Linked DNA regions of Styela clava. Each later gene encodes a partner of the first gene's protein in a complex. Links are inferred from orthologs where the notes say so. Each region holds a gene or a part of one and is shown on either strand. Other genes may lie near its edges. The genes, in order: pre-mRNA-splicing factor RBM22-like, pre-mRNA-splicing factor SPF27-like and pre-mRNA-processing factor 17-like.

What was found.
Region 2: pre-mRNA-splicing factor RBM22-like (region 1) and pre-mRNA-splicing factor SPF27-like share a complex: the UniProt entries of both Homo sapiens proteins name them as parts of the postcatalytic spliceosome P complex. The link is inferred for Styela clava from reciprocal best matches to the Homo sapiens genes RBM22 and BCAS2.
Region 3: pre-mRNA-splicing factor RBM22-like (region 1) and pre-mRNA-processing factor 17-like share a complex: the UniProt entries of both Homo sapiens proteins name them as parts of the postcatalytic spliceosome P complex. The link is inferred for Styela clava from reciprocal best matches to the Homo sapiens genes RBM22 and CDC40.

What each region holds. Positions count from the first base shown.
Region 1 is NC_135260.1:8,230,118-8,237,906, reverse strand, and holds the start of pre-mRNA-splicing factor RBM22-like, read right to left. Parts: upstream 3,105-7,789; 5' UTR 2,963-3,104; coding exon 2,909-2,962; intron 2,547-2,908; coding exon 2,493-2,546; intron 1,125-2,492; coding exon 962-1,124; intron 521-961; coding exon 420-520; intron 1-419. Other genes in the region: cytosolic sulfotransferase 3-like, read right to left, coding at 5,329-5,441, 5,743-5,920, 6,023-6,138, 6,356-6,497, 6,827-6,936, 7,132-7,245, 7,651-7,789. UniProt on the Homo sapiens protein: Required for pre-mRNA splicing as component of the activated spliceosome. Involved in the first step of pre-mRNA splicing.
Region 2 is NC_135258.1:22,062,367-22,069,977, forward strand, and holds the start of pre-mRNA-splicing factor SPF27-like, read right to left. Parts: upstream 3,094-7,611; 5' UTR 3,079-3,093; intron 1-3,078. UniProt on the Homo sapiens protein: Required for pre-mRNA splicing as component of the activated spliceosome. Component of the PRP19-CDC5L complex that forms an integral part of the spliceosome and is required for activating pre-mRNA splicing.
Region 3 is NC_135252.1:3,245,579-3,253,587, reverse strand, and holds the start of pre-mRNA-processing factor 17-like, read right to left. Parts: upstream 3,063-8,009; 5' UTR 2,918-3,062; coding exon 2,729-2,917; intron 2,072-2,728; coding exon 1,979-2,071; intron 1,900-1,978; coding exon 1,773-1,899; intron 1,276-1,772; coding exon 1,207-1,275; intron 810-1,206; coding exon 625-809; intron 241-624; coding exon 121-240; intron 1-120. Other genes in the region: uncharacterized protein LOC120342711, read right to left, coding at 7,450-7,599, 7,675-7,823, 8,005-8,009. UniProt on the Homo sapiens protein: Required for pre-mRNA splicing as component of the activated spliceosome. Plays an important role in embryonic brain development; this function does not require proline isomerization.

The DNA.
Region 1 (7,789 bases):
ATGTGAGGATAAATATGCATTACAATAATAGGCTAGGCTAGTATTAACTAAATAATAATACAAAATTATATTCTGTAATTCCTTCCCGAGATCAAAATCCTAGTTGGGAACCACTTAGAATATACCTTTTTCAGGGTAGTTACATGATTACTGTTGAATATAAATTGAAATCATTACTATTTTATTTGACGCAATGTGAGAGTCATACTGTGTTTTTTCGCAGTTTAAATATTTAATTTAATTCAAGAGTCTTGCTGCACACTAGCATAAATGTATGTCTGTAACGTTTCATTTATACGAGGTCGAACTTCTTCAGACAAGCATTTTTCAACTGTTTAAATTTGAACATTTATTTCTGAAGCTCATTTTGAGAAAATAGTGTATAAATATTTTATAACCAAACTTGAAATAATATTTACCTCTCTTTCCATATTTTGAGTATAAAATTCTTTGTTTACGTCTGATTTGGGAAGATCGTCAATCAGTCCCAGTGCATGGTCTCGAACTTGAACGGGCAAACCTGAAAATTAATGTAAACATTTGCCTGAAAAGCAGAGCATGTCCCAATTTTGAAATTGAATTTGACATAAGTATGCCGTAGCCAATTTTTCAACATGGCTGCTACATCCCAAAAATCTCATTTCTCGTTTGTTTACTTGAACCGTATTTCATTCATGAAATATATTAGTAGTTAGTTGAATAGGCTTACACATCCTCGAAAATTTCACACGCGCTATGTGTCTAAGATTTTGCAAAAATATCGGAGGTTATTTGTTTTAATGGAATGCAGTGCATTTCTTTCATCACATGGCCCGAGCATAAAAACATCTCTTTACCTTGTTGGAAATAATTACCGGTATGCATTTAAAATAAGGCTTATAAATTTAAGTGTTTATTCAAGAGTACTAATACTAACTTATAGATATACAACTAGACAAATTTTGTTTATCGTAATCCTTACCATATTCGAGATCCAGTAGGCAAGTTTGGCAGATATTTTTGAGTTTTGAACAAGTTTGACAGACTTCAGTTTTCTTAAATCTCATCCTGGCACCCGGACACCATCGGAATATTGTGAACGGTCGATCACAAATTTTACATTCTTTGCCAAATTTTTCCTTAGTCTATGAAAAACAAAAACAGTTGATTTCTTCTCATTAGTATATAAAGTATGGAAAAGTATATTTGTATTGAATTCATCTATAGCAGGGATGTCCAAATTGTGGACACTAGCATTTTTTATCCGTTAACTGCTGTAATAATTTAAGATTTTTTAACCGATAATTGCAGATTTTTTCATCGAAAAATTTGGTTTGTCTTAAATCTTATCAGAATATTTTTCAGCTATTAAAGTCACTAGAGGTAGATTAGATAGCAACACAGTTACACTTAGTTGTTTATAGGATTTTAATCAGTGAAGTGAAATGTTTCAATTTAAAAAAATTGAAATAATCACTGAATCATGACAATAAGCTACATACCGTATTTATTCGATTATAACGCGCAAAATTTTGAACTGAATTTTAGGCAAAAATCAATGCTGCGCGTTATACACGAGGTCTGAGAAATGCGGTATTGAAAATGTGGTTTTAAACATCTGAAACGTGCGTGCGCTCGCGCATGCACATTCCAATGCAGGACGATTTCGTGCAAGCACACGCACATGCGACAGCTCAGCGTGCGTTTGACATTCGTGCAAGCGTTCGATTTCGTGCAAGCACACGCACATGCGACAGCTCAGCATGTGTTTGACATTCCCGCTGCGTTGAGAATATTTATTTGCCATTATCGTACTGTACTGTAGATACCCATTATATATTACCCATTATCTATTATGGCAAGACAAAAACGTTCTGCATATAGGGCTGCATTCAAACTGGAGGTTGTTGATTATGCGGAAACTCATGGAAATAGAAAAGCTTCTAGAGAATTCAATGTACCAGAGACAAATGTCAGAGATTGGAGAAAGCAGAAAGTTGTTCAAAAGATATGAACAAAACAAAGAAAGCGCGGCGAGGGAGACAAGCCCGGTACCCAGAGTTGGAGAAGGAGCTTTATGATTGGATAGTTGATCAAAGATCTAGTGGGTACATCGTCACTTCGCTCCATATTAGACTCCGTGCACAAAAGATTTGCAAAGATTCAACCTTTAAAGCATCTAATGGTTGGGCACAAAAGTTTATGAGAAGGTATGGACTTGCACTACGCCAGAAAACAAAAATTGCACAAAAGTCAGAGACTGAATCCGATTTTGAAGAGTTTTGAATTACTGTGTGCTTTTAATAAATTTTTGTTCATGCTGTGAGTTGTTACCTTATGTGCTTACCAGTAGTTAGTAGAGAAAAAATAAAAAAAAGAATTTTATACCAATTTTCATTCAAAATTTAAAGGTGCGCGTTATACCAGTATACACGAGTGCGCGTTATAATTGAATAAATACGGTACATACGACTACAACAAGCAATTCTGTCGATGGCAACACAAAAACTTACCATTCTGATGTATGGATTGTCTCCAAGGCATGTCTGGCATAGAATCGGGAAATCCTAAAGTCAGAAAGTGAAGATTTAAATTTCAGTTTCAATATTCATCACACTACAATTTATTAGGACATTTCTGTATCAACTTGTATAATTATACTTATTATTATCATTCGGTTCATACATGTCAGAAGTCAAACAAAAATAAATGATTCTGCGATTTGAGGTCAGGCAAAAATTAAAAATAATTTTGTTCTGATTCTGGTTGTCCAATTGTATATTTCTCAACCTTTCCAAGCTATTTCATGTATTTATAGCTTTATTCCTAATTCTATATTTATTCCGTATTAAGCTTATTCAATTGTTTGCAGGTATGGGTGCTATGAATATCAAGTCATAAACTTGACAGAATGATTTTGACAACTCACCGATTCTTCCCAGTTTTGACGATTATATCGGTTAGCTCCTAAAGATGTCGCCATTCTTGATATTCAAGTGTTTCCCTATCTTAGATCGCGACTTCAATTGTTATACCTCCAAACCAAAAAGTAATACCGGTACCGGTACCAGGCAGAATGCAAATAGACTATTCGGATCTTAAAGACTGTGAGACGTAAAGATAAACCGATCAAGAAAAACGAACGTAAGCTTATTTTCGCGTTAACCACTGGAGCAAATTAGTGTACGGAGTCACATTACAACCAGCTTTATCAATTTTAGCACCGGAGACTAAAATACTTCGACCAAAATAAAACCAGGAAAAAAACACGGACTAAATATTATTTTAACTATTCAAGTATCGCATGGTTACAAATATATCGAATTGAACAATATTGTATACGCGAACCAAAATGAGAGAAGTGAAAAGCTGAAAAAAAAACAGTCGGATACCAGCACAACTACATCGGAGACATAAGTTATTTATCCAAAAATAGATATCCGCGTGTAGTATTTGGGCATTTTCATGTCCATCAGTGCCTAACCAGTAAGAATTTAATGGTGATGCAACATTTGGACTTATTTTTTTCTGGTAAGCGACCGAGGGGCTCTAGTTGCTCTCATCTATTTAAATGTTTATCGTATCCCTCTTTTCACGAGCGAGAAACCACCGCCAATCACATGATTAAGAGAAAGAGAGAAAATTTATTGTTCATCAACCAGAAAACGAACATTGCAACAATAAAAAATACTAAGAAGTTTTTGGTACAGACCTCGGGGGGCGATACGACCACGAGGTCATTATATTGTATTCCTTATATTGTATCGTATTCCCAATATTCAATATATTGTATTATGTATAAGATTGACCGTTATTGTACGTGAATGTAAATGTGAAAGAAAATGTCTTATAAACTGTCCTTTCTACTGGGGAAAATATGAATAATATTATCTTTCTGTAACTTAATAATATTAAGTTTCTGTGTTACCAAAATCGGGGATTTTAATTTCGCGTAACAGTTGTTGTCGGTGACCATGGCTTTAACGAATTAACCAACCAACATCGCTATCTGGAGATTACGGTGAAGGGCCATCATATGCGCAGGGTACTCTCAATAAGATCACAATACGATAAAATTTACATCTTGCACCTGGTCCCCATTAACTTTAATAACAACACCTTATTGCAAATTATAATTTGGCTTTGTGTGTTGTATGATAGTAGAGATGACGTTACATTTTTACTATTTGGTAGGTTGCTTTGTACAATAAAACAAATCTAGTTTACTGAATCTCAAAGGTTGTCCTGTGTATTGGCGAGCAAACATTTCACCAGATTAAATCAGATTCGTGAGTCGTGACATACTTTCCATTCGAACTCAAACCCAACTGAAAAAATTCAGGTCAATTAGCACTTAGCAGGTCTGTTTTGAACGCTTCAAAAGCTTATATTTTATTCAAATTGTTTACATATATAACAATGCTATATATAAAATGCAAAACTATAAGACTAGCAATATCTATCCAACTATCCAAAGGTTTAAATCCGGTGTGGGCAACTTTTCTAGTCGGCGGGCCAGATGTGGGAAAATGAAGTCCTCGATTGGTCGGATTCTTACAAAAAATACTTCGGTATCCAATCTTTATTAAATGCTCGACACTCTCTGTCAACTGTACGTTTCTTGGGATATTCCATGGTCAATAAAACCTAATATATATCTATAAAATCTAATTTCTAAAATCTATTTATATTTAGAATTTAAATATGACTGATAACAGTGCTAGGGAATGTTTACAACGCTCCCTGCTTTGACCTTATATTGTTTGTTTAACAAGTGTGCTAACGCAATTGTTTGTTCACTAAAGCAATTGTTTGTTTCACCAGCTCGCACTGACAGTGCGGTGGGAGTAGAGCGATCGGCAACTTTCAGGAATGATGCGTCGGATCACATTACATAGTGTGGTTGGATACAGTCAGCGGGCTAGTCAAAATCTCGTCGCGGGCTGGACCTGGACCGCGGGCCGTATGATGCCCACCCCTGGTTTAAATAAACAGTCATGGGACAGACATTTCTTCAATTTTTCCCACGCCTTTGCGTTGCCTGGTTTTAAGCATTCAACGCAGTCACATCTGACCTCGAACCCATATACTGCGCTGTGATCAAGAGTTTATGCCAAAGTTGAAAAATCACACTTTTATTTGTTAACTGCTATGATTTTGACATTCACAAAGTATTGAGGGCGTACAAAAGCGGTGTTAAAACATGCCGAATTTGCTTGCTTCTCCAAACGTATATAGCATATAATATTGTCGAACCAGCTATAGAAGGAAAACACATGATTTCATATATTTAGGTATATTAATAACTTGTATTTAAACGTGCTTCATTTTCAACTTTTTTCTATCTAACTATAAAGTGTATTTGAATTTTATATCAGTATTTCCAAGTTTGTTCTTCACTTCTTTGTCCATCTGTTCAGATTGAGCAACCGTGAAATGGTCTTTCCAACCACCAACTTCACCTGATAGAAAAAACGTTTTATATTATATATACGATATTTTAAATTATTCTAGAACTTAGCTTGCACAAAAATTTGGTATATATATCTAATATTTCGTCAAAACAAAGTCAACGAATACTTAAAAGAAAAAGAGAATAACACATTTCTCACGCTCATAAACTTCTTAATTAACAATTCAACAATTAAAAAAAAATTGAAAACGCGTTGATTTAAAAGATTTTTAAAATGGCGAGAACAACTGTTTGGAACTACAACTGTGTGCTGGCATTAAAGCAGACTCTGCTATGAATTTACGCCTCACCTTTTCTAAGTATTCCAAGTTGATTTCTCAAATTTTGATCAACATTTTCTTTTCCGCTTTTTTGATCTGATTTTTTCATGCTCGAAAAGGCAACTTTCTCGGCAATTTCTCGTATGTTTTCTTCAGTGAGATTTAAATCCAAAAACTTCGCCATTCTGCTAAATTCTTTTACCGGATTCTATTACATTTGATATATATATATATATAAACTTAAACATATAGCAATAAATGATAAAATGGCAGAAGGTGTGTTGTTATGAGATATCATTTTTGTACATACCTGTTTCATATCTTCGTAATAGAAAAACATCACATTCTTATCGTCTCTATGCTGTAGCCATCCTAAAATATGGTCCAAATACCATTCCCCGTCACGCATACCGATGGGCATTTTGCCTAAATATAAAAAAAAAATGTTCTCTGAATTCCGGTAAAAGTGTATCTCAGGCACACAGGAATGACACGATCGTGCATATATTTTTTGAAGAAATCACACACACTAATCCCACAAACACACACACACATATATATACATACATGCTTGACAAAGTCGCCGATAAAAAGTAAAGTCATATACTACTCAAATGGAAAGATAAAAATGTTAAATATATACCCGCAATAAAGCTGTCCAGAAAAGTAGCCCAGTCTGATCCAAATAATTTATCTAGCGGTTCGATTTGTAGATTCGGCAACTTTGGAATGAAGTTAAACCAGGACACTGCTTGATCTTTGGGATTGCGCAACACGTAGACAACCTAAGAAGAAACAGTAAACTTGAAATTTTCGGAGAGCAGCGAAATGGTTTATAATAGATGGAACTCTTTCTTGACAAAAATTTTCCAGGCCCAGGGTAAATATAAAAAACAAATAGTATATATATATAGTAGTTCGGCACAAAACGGGTGTTTTTAATTCAGAACCAAAATATATGAAACACTCCCTAATAATATATATATATATATAACAACTGATTTTACTAAAATGTGGAATAAAAGAGTATACTGTGTAAGGACGCCTCTTTAAACTAAAACATAACATATCGTATTTGAGTAGATGGGTGAAATACATTTTTTGAAATGTTTACCTTCGCGTTGACTTTCTTGATTTTGTCGACATTTATCACTGGTGCAGGTAAATGTGTGCATAATATTCTTTTTTTTAATGGCATTGCATCAAATATTTTGTATTTTTCAGCTGCAAAGACAAAATTATAAACGATAAAGAGCCGTAGGCAACTTTAGTTCGGCCATTGGTCGATTATCACAAAGATAGCAAATTGAATCAAATATTCAACTAAAACCTTGTCATTTATTAGAGAATAGTAATTAAAGATGATTAGATTGTAATCATGGTTCTCGAATGAGATTCAAAAATGAAAACATAGCTTACACCACCCTCCTTCAATAAGGCTCATGACCATTGGCTGACTTGACATTATTCTGTAGTCTCGTTCTTGTCCAAAGTATAACAATTGTTTTACAATTTCGTTTGTCCAATTTAGTCCTGTAATAAGAGATGGGTAGATGACTGGCTTCAATGTGGATATTTTAAAAACCCATAGAGAATTCGGCCAAGCAACTTGTCTCTCGCCCCTTTTTAATACAAACCCCGACGTGCTTATATATAATCAATTGGGTAACTATGTTAATGTACTATCAAATACGGCAGGAGATCTAATCTTGACTGTCCGATCCAAACAATATGTTTTGTCCCTAGACTATGGTCTGCGACGCAAAAGATGCGCAACAACTAATAGTTGGATAAATATAAAAATTTATATTAATTAGAGTTTAGACGATTAATGTTAAAACTAGTCGTTACCTTTTTTCGCAAACAAGACCTACATCCCACAAGATCTATGGTATCCCAAAAATATTTAATAATACAAGACTACTATAAATTTTATACCTGTTTTAGGATAGGCCACAACGAATACGTCGCCTTCTCTTGGCGTCCAATCTTCATAAGCAAACCGGACGGTTTCAGCTTTGAATGAAGGTTGCATTTTATGCCCTTTCCAGTCTTCAATGGGTAAAGTCTTTTTCTT
Region 2 (7,611 bases), on another chromosome or scaffold:
GAGTTGCGTTTTTAAAACTAATATTTTCGATTGGTTCTCAGGTTTCTCATCTGCTATCAATAACTTTAAATTTTTATGTAGTTGGTCTTCCCTTATATGTTTTTCTTTGACCTTCAGTTTTGAGAATCCAATCGTTTGTTTCTTAAATTTTTCTTTGCACTCATCCCACCAATCCTGGATATAGCTAAAATTTCCCCTTTCTCACAACATATTATTATACGTGTTTGTAATTACTTCGTGGTAATTCTCGTTGTCCAAGTGAAGTAAATTTAACCGCCAAATTCCGCTTCCCCATCCTGTTTTTTGAGGTGTTTTAAGTATAAGTATAGGAATTATATTAGAGGGTATTGATATTATGTTTTATATTATGAATGAGCGGGTCCAAATTATTTTGATGATAAATTCTATCGATTCGTCGACTTTGATTTCCAGTAGTGCACGTGTATACTATTTTATTTGGTTTATTATATCTATACGTATCAAGTATATTGCTGTCTGAGATCGTCTTTCTGAACAGTTTCTCGGCATGGGTGAGTTTAAAGTTGTTTTTGTTTAGTACATCTCTTTCGTCCAATACTATATTAAAATCTCCTATGACAATCAATTTATGTTTGACACTATTTATTGTTATAATGTCATCGAGTTTACCATAAAAATCAGTTTGGCTCGTTCCCCGTTCCGAGAGCGCATATACATTTAAGATCATAATATCTCCTTTATCATGATGCAAAATTAAACTTTCCATCCTATGTTCCATAAATTTAGTATACTTTGAAACTCTTATGTCATCTCTCTTTTTTATCATTATACCAGTTCCCTGCTTCATGTACTTTATGGCTGAGTCAACAGCACTTGTGTTGCAAAATATATTGTATCCGAGCTTATCCGCCCATCGTTGTATTTGTTCTTCATCAATTTTATGCAGTTCTTGTAAGCATAAAATATCAGCGCTATATTTGGTTAACCAATTAGATAAACTATTCAATTTTTTCCAAGTCCATTTATGTTTATGGTTGTTATTTTAATTTTACTCGATTCATTTATGGTTTGACACTATTTATTGTTATAATGTCATCGAGTTTGTATCCGAGCTTATCCGCCCATCGTTGTATTTGTTTTTCATCAATTTTATGCAGTTCTTGTAAGCATAAAATATCAGGGCTATATTTGGTTAACCAATTAGATAAACTATTCAATTTTTTCCAAGTCCATTTATGTTTATGGTTGTTATTTTAATTTTACTCATTGTATTAAATCGAAATTAAAAATGGGCGGGGTTCGAATTGTCGGTCTCAGGTATGATTTTTTTATTAAGTTCCGTTTTTTTTTTTCAGAAATCTTGAGTTCTAATCGTTCCCACGAGCATTGGGTGTTTTGACAATGCTATATCGTGGGCGGGGGTTGGTATCTTGTTTTGTTTTCTTTGAAGTTCTAACTTGGGAGTTATCTTTCATGGATAAATTGTCTGGGCTAGTTCCGGTTCTTTTTTGTCGAGATGGTGATTCGACAAAGCTTATATTATGAGCCTTAGGAAGCGGTGATGATTGAAAAGCCGTATTCAGATTCTCTCGCGTTGGCGAGCGAATGATGGCGGTTTTCCTCCGAGTCCATCTTTGTGCTCTGGGGCTGAATAGATTTTCCAATGAGCCTTTATCAATTAGGGCGGGGACTTCTTCTTTCTCTTTCGCATCAGTTTTGCTTAGAGGTGATTGTTCGATTTCTTCCGACCATTGAGTCGGAGGGACTGGTTGTTCTAGAGGGATTTCTGGTGTTTGTGGAACCATTTCGGTTTCCTGATTTGTTTCCAATGGGACAATTTGTACAATAGGCGATATTACTTGGGAAATTTCAAACGGGTTCGTTGAAGATACTTGTTCTGCGGTTTTGTTTTCTTCAATCTCGGGATCTTCCCTGTGAATTTCGGTCTGTGTGACTACTTTTTTCAACAGCGGTGCTTTAACTGAACTAAAACCTTTTAGTACGTATGGAGTTTCTGGCTTTCCGGATTTTAGTTTGGCGTTTGTCATTTCAATCGAAGCTGGTTGTGCGACATTTTCTTTTTCTTTTTGTATTGTTTTTTTCGGGGACTTTCCTACGGGACAATTTCTCTTCATGTGCCCTTCTTTTTGGCACTTACGGCATCGTATTTCATTTTCACAGTTGCCCTGCGTATGCCCCTTCTCTAAACATTTGGTGCAAGAAGGAACGTAAAGTTCCCTCGAGACGAAGGTTCTACATCCTATTCCGTCAATTGACATGAATGTCGGGAGCTTTTCGATGTCGAGTTCTTTTATTTGGAACGTGGTGGACCGTTATATATTTTTGTTCCTTTGTGAAAAACCCTCGTTGCTGAGACAATTTTGCCAACTCCCTTATTGCTCATGGTTTCGATCGCCTTTGCGAGAGATGTTTTGTCCGCAATTCCTCTTATTGATACCCGGATAGGTGGTGGTGAGGGGAAAGAGAACTTCAATGACAGATCTGGGGTGTTCACTTCACCCTTGGTTGAATTCATCAGTTCGGTTCCACAACTCTCTTGGCTATCTTCCAGAGGATGAAATGACAAAACCCACTTGTTCTTCGCTATTTCCCAAAGACCACTTATTTGATCCGTGTAACCTCCTAGTTGTGGGGATTCTTTAAATGCAGTGTAGAGCTCCGAGAATTCTACTTCTTTTGATGTTTCCACAAACAGAGTTCTTCGTCTGGTCATCGTCGATTCTTCATCTCCAGTTCTTGCTGCAGCAGCTGCGTAGGACATCTTGAATATCCGAGAGGTATGATGGTAAATCTCTTATGCTCGTATATCCAATTGAGTAAGTCCAGTGAATCGCAGGCAGTATATAATCCGGTAGTTGACTCGATGCTTAAGAACAGTTCAATCAATTCCCTTATAAAACAGTTACAAGATCTTCGGCCGAAAGCTTAGTGCTCGGGTCGTTCACAAGACCGTCGCTTCTTACTAAAGACAGGCCCTTAAAAAATCGCTGAGAAGGGCCTCTCACGGAATGCGTGCAGAGCGGGGCTGTGAACCCAAAACGACTCTGTTTCGGTGTATTAAGGTGCGCCAAAACGAGCCTTAATACAACCAAATACTCCAAAATAACTCATTCTCCTTCAGTAAGTAGGCTAGCGTTGCGCTACACAGCAACAACAGTAACGAGAACATGTTCGTGTATTATGCTGGATGGATAAAAAGCGCGACTGTCCCGCCTAAAGCGGGACGTATGGTAAACCTACGTGGGAGGGAAAATACCACAATGCTTGCTAGATATGTCGGCAAGTTGTGTCGGTGACAAAAGAATATGATTTAGGACGGAATTTTAGAATATTGTGAGCAATGAGCATTTTCCAAAGTTAAGATTTTGCTTTGAAAATTTTATTGATGTTCGAAAGCATTTCATTTGTGTAAGATATTTTTCCGTTATGAAGAGTTTGAAATCTTACACTAACGTTGATAAATGACAAATGCTGATTAATGTGTTTGTACAATAAAAGTGTTTATTTTGTATTTAACTGTTTACCCATTCTTGGCATTGTTGTGGCCCGCGAACATTGCAAAAATCAGTGGCGGCGCGTCAACAGGGCCAACCTGTTTTTTCGGTATAATAGAAAATATTCGAAAAATACCTCAATATCGGTTGCACAGACTGTCTACACTAGCCATATTCTCCCGACAAGGTTCATTTTTCGCTCGCAAAGCCTTCGCCGAACGTTGACGGGGCGACGCCGATTTTGCCCCGGTTGCTCATTGTATATCGTATTCTCTCTTTTATCTTCCACTCGCCGCGTTTGTCTCGTTTGTTTTCTGTTTCTTCGTTTTTGTCGCTTGTTTCGCTATTTGAATCAGTTAGAGACCTTTAGTCCATTTGCTTTCGATTTTCCACATTCCTTTTGAGCTCCTCACTTCTTTCCGGCTTCGCATTTCTTAGCCTTAGAACTCATAATGAATAAGGTTGATGCACTACTTCGCACTCCGTTTTCGCAGCTGCCGCTGGAACAAAAATTAGAGGTACAACGTCTTGGGCCTTATCAACCAAAAAATTGTTCACTGGAACAATCCCATGACGGAGAAAAGCGTCGGCGTACATTCTGCGCAGAAACTTGGTATAAAAAACACGAATGGTTGTGTTACAGCGAGGACAAAAATGCACTTTTTTGTTTTCATTGCCTACTTTTTGCTACCGCCTGCGACTCACGTTGGTGTAAATTTGATTTTAAAGATCTTAAACATCTTTCCGAGCGTGCCAGGGATCATCAATCTTCTATGGAGCATCTGGACAATGCAGTAAAATACCGAACATTCGGAAATGTTAATATTGCAGCACAGTTGGATGAAGGACGCGCGGTTTCTATTCGTCAGCACAACCAAAACGTCGAGAAAAACCGCCATGTTCTCGGTCGATTGATAGATGTTTTGAAGTTCATTGGTTGTCACGAGCTGTCCCTCAGTGGGCACGATGAACGGGCTGGCTCTTCTAATAGAGGGGTATTCTTGGATATAGTGGAATACACCGCATCCCTAGATACAGTATTGAGAGATCATCTTGATGCCGCAACTGTTTCGAAAGGGACATCTAAGGATATCCAAAATGATTTGCTCGACTCAATGTATAAAATTTATTTACAACATTTGGCTCTGGAAATTGAGAATTGCCAGTTCCTTTCGATTCAGTCTGACGAGACAACTGACATCACGTGCGTTTCCCAACTGGCTGTGATTTTTCGGTTTGTGAAAGATGGTAAACCTACCGAGAGATTTCACAGCTTTGTACCAATCGTTGATCGCACGGCTTGCGGGATATCGGCTGTACTGAAAAAGTGTTACAGCCTTACAACGCGAAGTCAAAATTGATAGCTCAAACTTATGACGGCGCGGCAGTCATGAGTGGGTCGAAACATGGTGTTCAAGTTTATATAAAAGAAGACTTTCCTCATGCGCATTTTTTACATTGTTATGCACACCAATTTAACCTCGTTATTAAAAATATGTGTCTTGATACCCCTCTCGTCCGTATATTTTTTGCAAATGTTTCGGGGTTTTCTTCATTTTTTTCCGTTTCGCCGAAGCGCTCTGACCTCCTTCGCCAGATATGTAGCCGCCGTCTCCCAGCTTGTGCACCAACACGTTGGAACTTCCAATCACGCGTGGTGCAGGGTGTGTCCGAAATTAGGTCTGAGCTCATTGAGTGTTTCAATGGCATTCAGAGCTCTCCGGTTTGGGACGAACGCTCTGTGAGGGAGGTGGCAGGTCTAAAGCGTCTGCTAGAAGATGGTGAGTTTTCATTTTTTCTCGCTTTTTTCTCCACAATATTCTATCACGTGGATGTATTATACGGCGCATTGCAGTCAAGGCTAATGGATGGAGCGTCTGTGCAGTCGTGTATTTCAGACTTCTGCGATACTGTATCTCGTATCCGGGAAACAATAAAATACGACGACACATGGAGTGCTTCTTTACGCCGCGGGCAAACAACGCAGCGTTTGATTTTGTCTGCAAAGGAATGCTGTGACATTCTGGTGAATCAAATAGGCGATCGTCTGCGCACTGAACACCTTGCCGCGTTCTATTTGATGAACCCCAAAAATTTTTCAAAATTTGCACGTCAATTTCCCATCCATTTGTTGGCTACTGTCTCCAAATTTTACCCCATGATCAACGTGGGTAAATTGGAAAATGATTTGCGATGTATATACACCAATCAAACTTTTTTGAACATCACATCAACTTGCGCGCTCTATGGGTTCCTCATAGATAACACTCTAGTAACTACCTTTGCGGCGTCTGCAAAATTTCTGGACATCATTTTGACGACGCCTATTTCTTCCGCCGACGCAGAGCGAACATTCAGCACGCTGAAGCGTATTAAAACGTATCTCAGAAACACAATGAAGCAAGATAGATTAAATTCCTTGGCTGTTTTATCCATTCACAGAGACGTTATTTCTGGGATGCATGACTTTAATCAGCGCGTTATTGAGTATTTTGCTTCCAAGAAACCGCGGCGTGTTGCATATATGTTCAAGCAGTAGAAGTCTAGCAGAATATATATCTATGAGTGAGCGACGCATGTCCTTATCTTTGCATTACCTTTCCTTTCATAGTAACGTTTTAAACCTTATTTTAGGTTTTGTCTGCTTTCCCGAAGTTTCTGTTAATATGTCATTGTATTTATCTGGGTAAATATTGCCTTTCCTTTTGAAAGAGGTTTCAAAATAAACTATGTCTATATTTATTAATCCCTTGACTTGGACCGGTTTTAAAGACACTTCCTTATCGTTAAAAATTGTCGGTTTTGCCGATTGGTTGTTACCGATGGAATGGTTTTTATACTCATAAAATGATGGGAGAACTTACAGCGCTCATCCTGTCCCCGTAGATGGGGGTGACTTGGTGCCGCAGTAGCTTGCCCCGGTTGTCAAAATGACCACGCGCCGCCACTGATTGAGAGATCATCTTGATGCCGCAACTGTTTCGAAAGGGACATCTAAGGATATCCAAAATGATTTGCTCGACTCAATGTATAAAATTTATTTACAACATTTGGCTCTGGAAATTGAGAATTGCCAGTTCCTTTCGATTCAGTCTGACGAGACAACTGACATCACGTGCGTTTCCCAACTGGCTGTGACTTTTCGGTTTGTGAAACATGGTAAACCTACCGAGAGATTTCACAGCTTTGTACCAATCGTTGATCGCACGGCTTGCGGGATATCGGCTGTACTGAAAGAAGTGTTACAGCCTTACAACGCGAAGTCAAAATTGATAGCTCAAACTTATGACGGCGCGGCAGTCATGAGTGGGTCGAAACATGGTGTTCAAGTTTATATAAAAGAAGACTTTCCTCATGCGCATTTTTTACATTGTTATGCACACCAATTTAACCTCGTTATTAAAAATATGTGTCTTGATACCCCTCTCGTCCGTATATTTTTTGCAAATGTTTCGGGGTTTTCTTCATTTTTTTCCGTTTCGCCGAAGCGCTCTGACCTCCTTCGCCAGATATGTAGCCGCCGTCTCCCAGCTTGTGCACCAACACGTTGGAACTTCCAATCACGCGTGGTGCAGAGTGTGTCCGAAATTAGGTCTGAGCTCATTGAGTGTTTCAATGGCATTCAGAGCTCTCCGGTTTGGGACGAACGCTCTGTGAGGGAGGTGGCAGGTCTAAAGCGTCTGCTAGAAGATGGTGAGTTTTCATTTTTTCTCGCTTTTTTCTCCACAATATTCTATCACGTGGATGTATTATACGGCGCATTGCAGTCAAGGCTGATGGATAAAGCGTCTGTGCAGTCGTGTATTTCAGACTTCTGCGATACTGTATCTCGTATCCGGGAAACAATAAAATACGACGACACATGGAGTGCTTCTTTACGCCGCGGGCAAACAACGCAGCGTTTGATTTTGTCTGCAAAGGAATGCTGTGACATTCTGGTGAATCAAATAGGCGATCGTCTGCGCACTGAACACCTTGCCGCGTTCTATTTGATGAACCCCAAAAATTTTTCAAAATTTGCACGTCAATTTCCTATCCATTTGTTGGCTACTGTCTCCAAATTTTACCCCATGATCAACGTGGGTAAATTGGAAAATGATTTGCGATGTATATACAC
Region 3 (8,009 bases), on another chromosome or scaffold:
TCAAATTTCAGGACACTTTCTTCAAGCCCAATCCAGTATTATGCTCGGTCATTTTCATTGATCAACAACTGCATCCCTTCATTGGCTATATTTCACTGTAATATATTGTGATACACTTACCTGATAATCATTTGGATTTTTGACATGTAATGTTGTCTTTTCTTCGATGGTTGCTTCCTCTGCTTTCTTCCCTCTCTTTTTACGCTTTGCAAGCAGTTCATCGATTTCTATCTGTTCTTCCTGAAATCCATATGCAAATACACATTAGTAATATCACTCTTGTTTTTTTTATTACATGATATATAATATATCACTTGAGAATGTTGAGATGACTTATTGAAACTCACCAAACCCCATTCACCATGTCCTAGTGATTTAAACCATACCAAAATAACTGTTTACAAACAAATCATTTTATCAGGCACAATAGCTATAATATGCACGTTGGCTTAGCTAGTTTGTGGCCGCAAGATGAAAACTCAAGTTAAAACCCAAGCTCATCTCAATCAGCGTCTAAAATAAATAAATTTAGTAGGCTATGTCGAAAACTGCTTTTTTTATATAATGCTTCTTATCTATTAATTCACTGCATATTCAAGTCAATGCTAGGCAATTAAAAGTTACCTCAGAAGGTTTGGAAATTTTAACATCGTCAACAAATCCACCCCAAGGTCCAAGAAATCCGTCAATATCCTCAGGATTATCACATTTCTGTCTCTTCCTTTTATCAGCCTCTCTTGTTTTGATTTTTTCAAAAACAGTTCTCTCTTTTTCATTGTTTTTGGCCATCAGTTCCTCACCAACATCAGCTGGAAAAAATAATATCCGATTGAGGAATGACGAAAAAATTAGTTAAAAACAAAACTAAAAAAAATTATTCGAACAAAATTATGTTATCAGATTCTGTGTCGGGAATTACTGTTTTCCTTTCGGTATAGTTGGAATTTGGATATTGAAAATTTGAATGGCTTAGTTTCGAATATGACATAAATTCAAATTTGCTGCAAGATGGACTTATTAAAATGATTCAAAAGTAATGACATGGGAGTATTTAAAATACAGGGTGGCCCAGAAAGAAAAGAACTATAAATTTATTAATTACTTCAACGTAAATGAAGCAAATATATATAATACTTTTGTTTGTGTATGATTGCACCCAAAAGTTTCAGTAATCATAGAAGTTATAAAAAAAACATAAAAACATACCAATCACTGTCTTGTTTCCTGCTGTTTCATCAATTCCAGATTCATCAATGGAAGGATCGACTGCATAGCCTGAAGAAAGATTGTAATGCCATATTCAGATATATTTAGAAAATTAAGTGAGAACATAATAAGAATAGAAAATTATTAGCAATAAAGATTGACTTATCAACAGGTATTTTATATACTCTTTATGAACAAGTTAATAAATGAGAAAGCACTCATAATTTGGAACAGATAGATACAGCTGGTATTTAGATTTTTATGAAACAATGTTTCTGTTTTGACTTATTGAAAACTATTAACAGGGTTGGGTTGTATGCTCGAATGGCTTCATAATAAAAATTTGTTATGCGAGTAGCTTGATCACCAAAAGTCTGCAATCTCTGATGCATGAATAAGGTAATTCCACATAACCCGATGCAGCGTTATCCAGGGAGAGGAAGAAATAAAAAGTTTCAAGGGAAGTAAAGTCTTGAATTTATAGAAAAGGTGGTTGGGCACCACTGACCTAATGTGACCGATTTTCCTCCAATGTTAGTATATAGAACAGTAGTGTATCACCATACCATAACTATAAAACGTCTTTCTCTGATTTTCAAACTGAAATTTATCGACATGAGCTTCTTGCACAAAGCCTGCTAATGTGTTCTTTTGTGCCAATTGTTGCCTTGTTTTGAATGGATTTGCTGGTCCCTGTAAACAAAATTAATCACATGTTCACCACGAACAAGAAAAGAAGGCTTCAACAATGGAATCTTTAAAGAAATAAAACCTGTTCTGGTGCAAACATCTGTTGATATGTTGGATTGAACATAACCTCCTTATTCGTGACATGATCAATGGCTTTTGTTCCTTGTACATCCTCCTGTGTAGATTAAAGAAGAAGATGCAGTTCTATATTTTAGGATAGGATAGGATTTACATATTTATCCTGGGGGAGAGGAAAGCTGATAAGACGGTGGTGTCCATATGGCACACCACGGCCTCTCGTCCGGCTACCATTCCAAGTCGGGTATGGGATTAGTTATATTGTTTGTTTTCTGAAGCATGGACTTGGTGGTGGAGGAAGCCATAACCGACCAGCAGTTACGTGAACCACCCAACGACGGCGAGGAGTCCAGCAATCCTCTCGCACATAACCATCCCTGCATGGGATTCGAACCTGCGAACCCACGCAGAGTAATTAGAGGTGCGGTGGCGAGCGTATTCCTAACGCTTAGCCCGTTGAGCCACACCGCCGCGCCAATAATATAATATATAATTATTAATAATTTTAATAATATAACTTGTACATGACCATGAGTTTTGAAGAATAACTGAATAATGAAACAAAAGGTTCCAGAAGCTCAGGTTGCCCTGACTAGAGGTGGGCCTAGGGGCAGCCTGTTGTAGGGGACAGCAGAACCAAGCTAGTTCATCTAATTACACATGTTTTTCTCAATGTGCTTGAATTTAATTAAAAGCTGAAATTACGTTATGTAATACGGTACAGTTTTAATTGCAGAATTGACTTGTATCTTACCTTAGTTATAACTTCAGGAGCCGCAACAACCAATTGCATTTTTGAACTCGATGAAGGACCATCTGTGGATTTTAAGTGAAGCGTTGACTCTTCAGAAATAACTTTGCCTGCCGCGATCTCACCATCCGCTGACCCATCACTATCATCTGAATCTGCATATGCAGTTTTCAAAGCGAATATAGCAGCCATTTATCTTTTAAACTGTTAGAAATGTTGTATATCTCAATATCTGTATATATGGGCTTTGGTCTACTAACCCAAAGTGAACATAATTCTGAAACACTAGAAATCTAACCAAAACAACCACAGCTGCATGGACGTTCTCCCGACCTTTGACCCAAGAAAAGTTCTCCCTACACTTCGCCATTGCAAAATTTTAGACGCTTATTTTGAGAGATCGCGCCTACAAATTGTTTGAAGTTTTAAAAGTTTGAAACTATCATTTTCATATAAGAAAGAATTTTGGCGAGATGGGATGCATGCCCGATCATGACTGCAAATCTTCGGCTTATATGTAAATATTTTATTAATTTTATTCTATGTAAATATTTTATTAATTTTCTTTCTTTCCATGAAAACTTAATGTTATTTTTGGACACACCTAAAATATGTTAAAACATATTTGAAGCATTTTTTTATTCATGTTTTTTGATATTAATGTTGGGTGGTAACAGACCCCGATGACCGCATGGTCGTATCGTTGCCACCCAGTCTATACCGAGAACTGTTTCGCTTTTTATTAATTATGTTTTTGTTGTGTATATGTTTTCTGGTGGACAAAGCAAATAAACTCTCTCTCTCTCTTCATATAGCAATATGTCGGGAAATGAGATACTTTGTGGAGTAGGCTAATGCCACGGTTAACGGAACACAAGTTTGCATCTGGGATTACAAAGGCGATGACAGGATGGTGTAGAGTAGACTGTAGATTATCAACTTCTTGCTGGTATAATTTTTGTGGCGATCTTCACTATCATAGGCATTGTATTGGGTTTTCTTGGTGACAGATATAACAGAATCAGAATACTCTTCATAATCATATGTGTACTTATTTGCTCTACAATGACTTTGATGACAGGCTAAATGAGAATTCGTACTGATATAATCTGATATAAACGGGCCAATTCATAACGTTTTAGACATTCATTTCATGGCGTATTATTGTTTTTGTTTTGTGTATCTACTGTTTTTAGGAACATTGGCTTCATTAATTATATGGGCCTACATGTTTACGCGCGTTATTAGTCAGTTAGTGTTTTCCTGATAATTGTTTTTATAATTGTCTGAGCGCAGAATTCACAAGCATTGTTTTGATTTGTTTGTACGTGTCTTGATTTACTGTATCACATTTAATTAAATGCTTCTGGGATGTATTGTCATTATATAGCGATGGTTAGATCTATGATTACATTATGCTTGAGACAGAGAAGAATTTGTCACACCATGCAAAAACACCACAAATTTGATCACTATATATTCCTTGGCCATCAATTCAATTCCACACCAATACCATGCCTAAACATAAAATGCGTGAATACATAAACGAGAATATCGGTCAGAGACCGAAGACTTATCGATCGAAAGTTAGGGTATCCCCAAAACCGCGCTCTTACTCCATATTGACACCTTGTGTCCCATCACTAATTAATTAATAACTCGCTAATTATACGACATAATTCACCCAAAATCAATAGTTGAAGGATAGAATTCAACATAGCTCTTCTGCTCGCCTAGTTGCAATAATTAGTAACCTTGCAGTAACTATATTATACTATCTACAACCCTTATACCCCCAATCAAACATAAAACCATGCATCTATGTTAAGAATGACCTCACATGAAGAAAAACGTGAGAGACATGCGCATTAGGGTTATAAAGCGAACAGCTATTCAAAGAAAATACTTCCAGCTACCTTGTTAAAAAAGAGAAAAAAACAGCACGCATGTCACAGTACCATTTCTTGTGTGCCAGACTAGGTCAGGCTAAGCTACGGTAACATATAACAATTTTAATATAGCTGTCCAACATTCTCATAAAAACAATACAATGTGCAAGTGTGGAGTGAACGAACATCACCAGATGTTGGTTTCCAAATAGTAATTTTTAACATTTGGAAACTAAATGAAACTTAACTTGTTTTTGAAAAGATTTTTTGGACTTAACGTCTTCAAGTTTAAGGGAAGAGTATTTCATTTAAGGGGAGAGAATTCCAGTAAGTGCTAGGCCTTGTGTTACTTAATATACCCGCTTGCTCCATTAAGTAGGCTGGGTTATAGCTCCTTTACCCTTTTAAAACAATACGCGTTGAGGCTTGTCATTTGCTTTTGTCTGCTACTCGTGTACTGCTCTTGTTTTATCATTTTCAACCAAGCCATGAATTTTGCAAAACTTACTCTTCATCCTGTACTATTTTGATGAGCCAGTAATAATCTCTTTCAACAAGAGATATTCGTCGAATATCAACTCTCCCACCCAAACGCTTGACTCTGGGCACGCCATCTTGGCGTACATCGTATGCTTGTAATAATATGTCATATTTACACTGTTTTGTTGTGTTCCGTTCTCATTGAGCTCATGTTGTCCTATTTACAAGTTTCGCAGTTGCTCTATAGTATCCAATAACTTATAATTGTGGGTTTCTGGCATCTCATAGTTTAATTCGATTTTTTTTGTTCTTCCTCTGTTTTCTTTGATTGTTTTAACCGAGTAAATGTTTAATATTCCATTGTCAATGTGGTACTCCGTAGTTTATTTCAAATTTTTTTTGTTTCGTCTTGTACGATTATGTTCAATTTAGTAATTTTTATTATTGACATGTTCTATCGATATATTTGTTGCCTGAATTCGGATGCAAGCTGTCGACTAGATGACTCATTTAATCTTTCGCGAATAGCCGATATCCGTTTATGTAATTTGTGACATGTAGGCCTAGATCAGGGGTCACCAAACTACGGCCCGCGGGCCGAATCCGGCCCGCGACGTCATTTTATCCGGCCCGCGGCGTCATTTTATCAGGTCCGCAATAACGCGCAAAAATGGCTAAATTTTTTTCCAAGAAAGATTTTCACGAGCATCGTCTTCCTTGTTTATTTCGTAACATTGGCCAATCGGCAAGATGCAGAAAATTGACGTAATAATAGGCCTTTCCGCATCCGCTCATACACTTTTGTCACCCTGACAGATTTTCAGTCGTGGTTGTAAACAAAACTTCGTTTTTGCGACTTTGAATGCTACCAGTACGTAACGTTTTCTGAGATACACTTGTACACTCGTGGCGCTTGCTTTCGACGAAACTGTTTGTTTTTCGTGCTAAAATAAACGTCGAATGCTCATTTTGTGCTAACAGTACTGTAATCCCTCGCGTACTGCTCCAATTTCAAAAGCCACACTAACTTTTGTACTGCTTTAATGCGGATATTCATGTAGGTATGTTACAAAAAAATTGAAGTTCATCCGATTTAAATAAAAACTGCTCCAGTGGAAAGATCTGAGTAAAAATAGAAAACAATACCAAGTTTGGAATAAACGGTCAAGAAATAACGGAGATATCGGAATTTTAGTACCGCCCGACAGCCAATTTTTTCCATAATGATTGTATTACTTTTTTGATAAGAACTGTACTGAATATGGAAAAATAACACATATCAATCACTAATCTTTCGATGTGCGTCACATCTATGGTATATTGAGACTATTTCAGGATTTTATTCTGGCAACGGTCATTGACACCGCCGGAAGATCGTCGCAAATAAACGCTGGAGTTGTTCATGATAGTTTGACAGTGGTTCATTGTGGGTAATAATTAACGATGTTCTGATTGTACGAAATTCATAAAAATTGGTAAGTATCAAGTTAGACAAGAAATACACACGTCCATATAAATTTTATTGGTGTCCATAGACAATATCATTAATTTTCACTACGTATAACTGGAGCGTAATTTTTGAAAGCGTCGAATGTTGGGAAATCTGTGCGCTAATGAAAAAATTCAAATACCAGATAATAGTTGTTTATTTTATCTAAAATATGTCAAAATTTCATAGAAATCCAAGCTACAGCAGGCAGTCGTTTTTATGAGCGGTATTTCAACACGGCGTAACGGTACTTAGCAGACGTGATGCGTACATTTTTTGCCGCGGATTTTGTAACAATTCTAATTCATGACAGCAACGTTTTGATAACAGCTAAACTCAGGATAGTTGTCTAGATATAGAAATCTTGTTAATTTTTTTTCCTAGGATGTTCTCGATCTATAATCTGCGATATTCCCAACATTTGTGAATTTATTGTATTGCATTGACAAAAATATTCATCCGGCCCGTTTCAACACAATTTGAGTCATACCCGGCCCGCGGTCAAAAAAGTTTGGTGACCCCTGGCCTAGATTATTGATTTCTCTTCCTTATAGAATATTGGTTTTGCACAACAAAAATAATTGTTTTCATTTAGGGCGAGGCCGCTCAAAATCATTAGGTGAAAAAGTCTTTACATACATGACTTGCAATACACATTTTGTGTAGCTGATCAATAAATCAAACCATCTTTCTTTCAGCAATATAAAAAGGAAAACAACTTGCATGCAAATACATTTATAATACAATTAAGTAGAAAAAAGGCCATATATCGTAGCTATGTCATCCCACTTTCAAGTGGTCATATGACGTTTGCGTTTTGGCAAAATGCTCATTTATTTACAAGTTGCGAATTTGACTGTGATGTTTCATGCTGTTGTGGTTACAGTGCTCCGTCTCCGTCCAAATCTAAGAAAGCTACGGGCGACAGTACTTGTACTGCTCGTTCTACGTCTTCCGTTGTCGACAGCATATTTCATATTTCGTTTTTCCAGTCTTCTATGAATCGCTCTTCTCACCTAATCACAAAAAACACTTCAAGCATAAAAGGCAACAAACAAATAATAAAGCGGTTTCTTACTAAATCAGATTACCTCTCCGTTGAAAAGGCAATATACTATGAATATTGCAATGCCTTGCGTTGAATTGAGAATTATGAAAAGCATTGTGAACACTTGAGAGAAATGAGCAAGAAATCCACACACCCACGGAACGCCCAGTATGGGAAGAAGTACTAGAGCGCCTGTAAATAATAAAAAAGTAAAATAAAAACAAGTCAAATTTCATTGCTGTGGTAGAACAGGCCTACAATCCTAAATGCGCCAATCAACTCTGCGAGATCGGAATTAAGTTCTGTCGATCGCAGTAGAAACGCATCAACATTCGCATATATCGGTGTATAAATACTGTGAAAGTAATCTTACCTTTG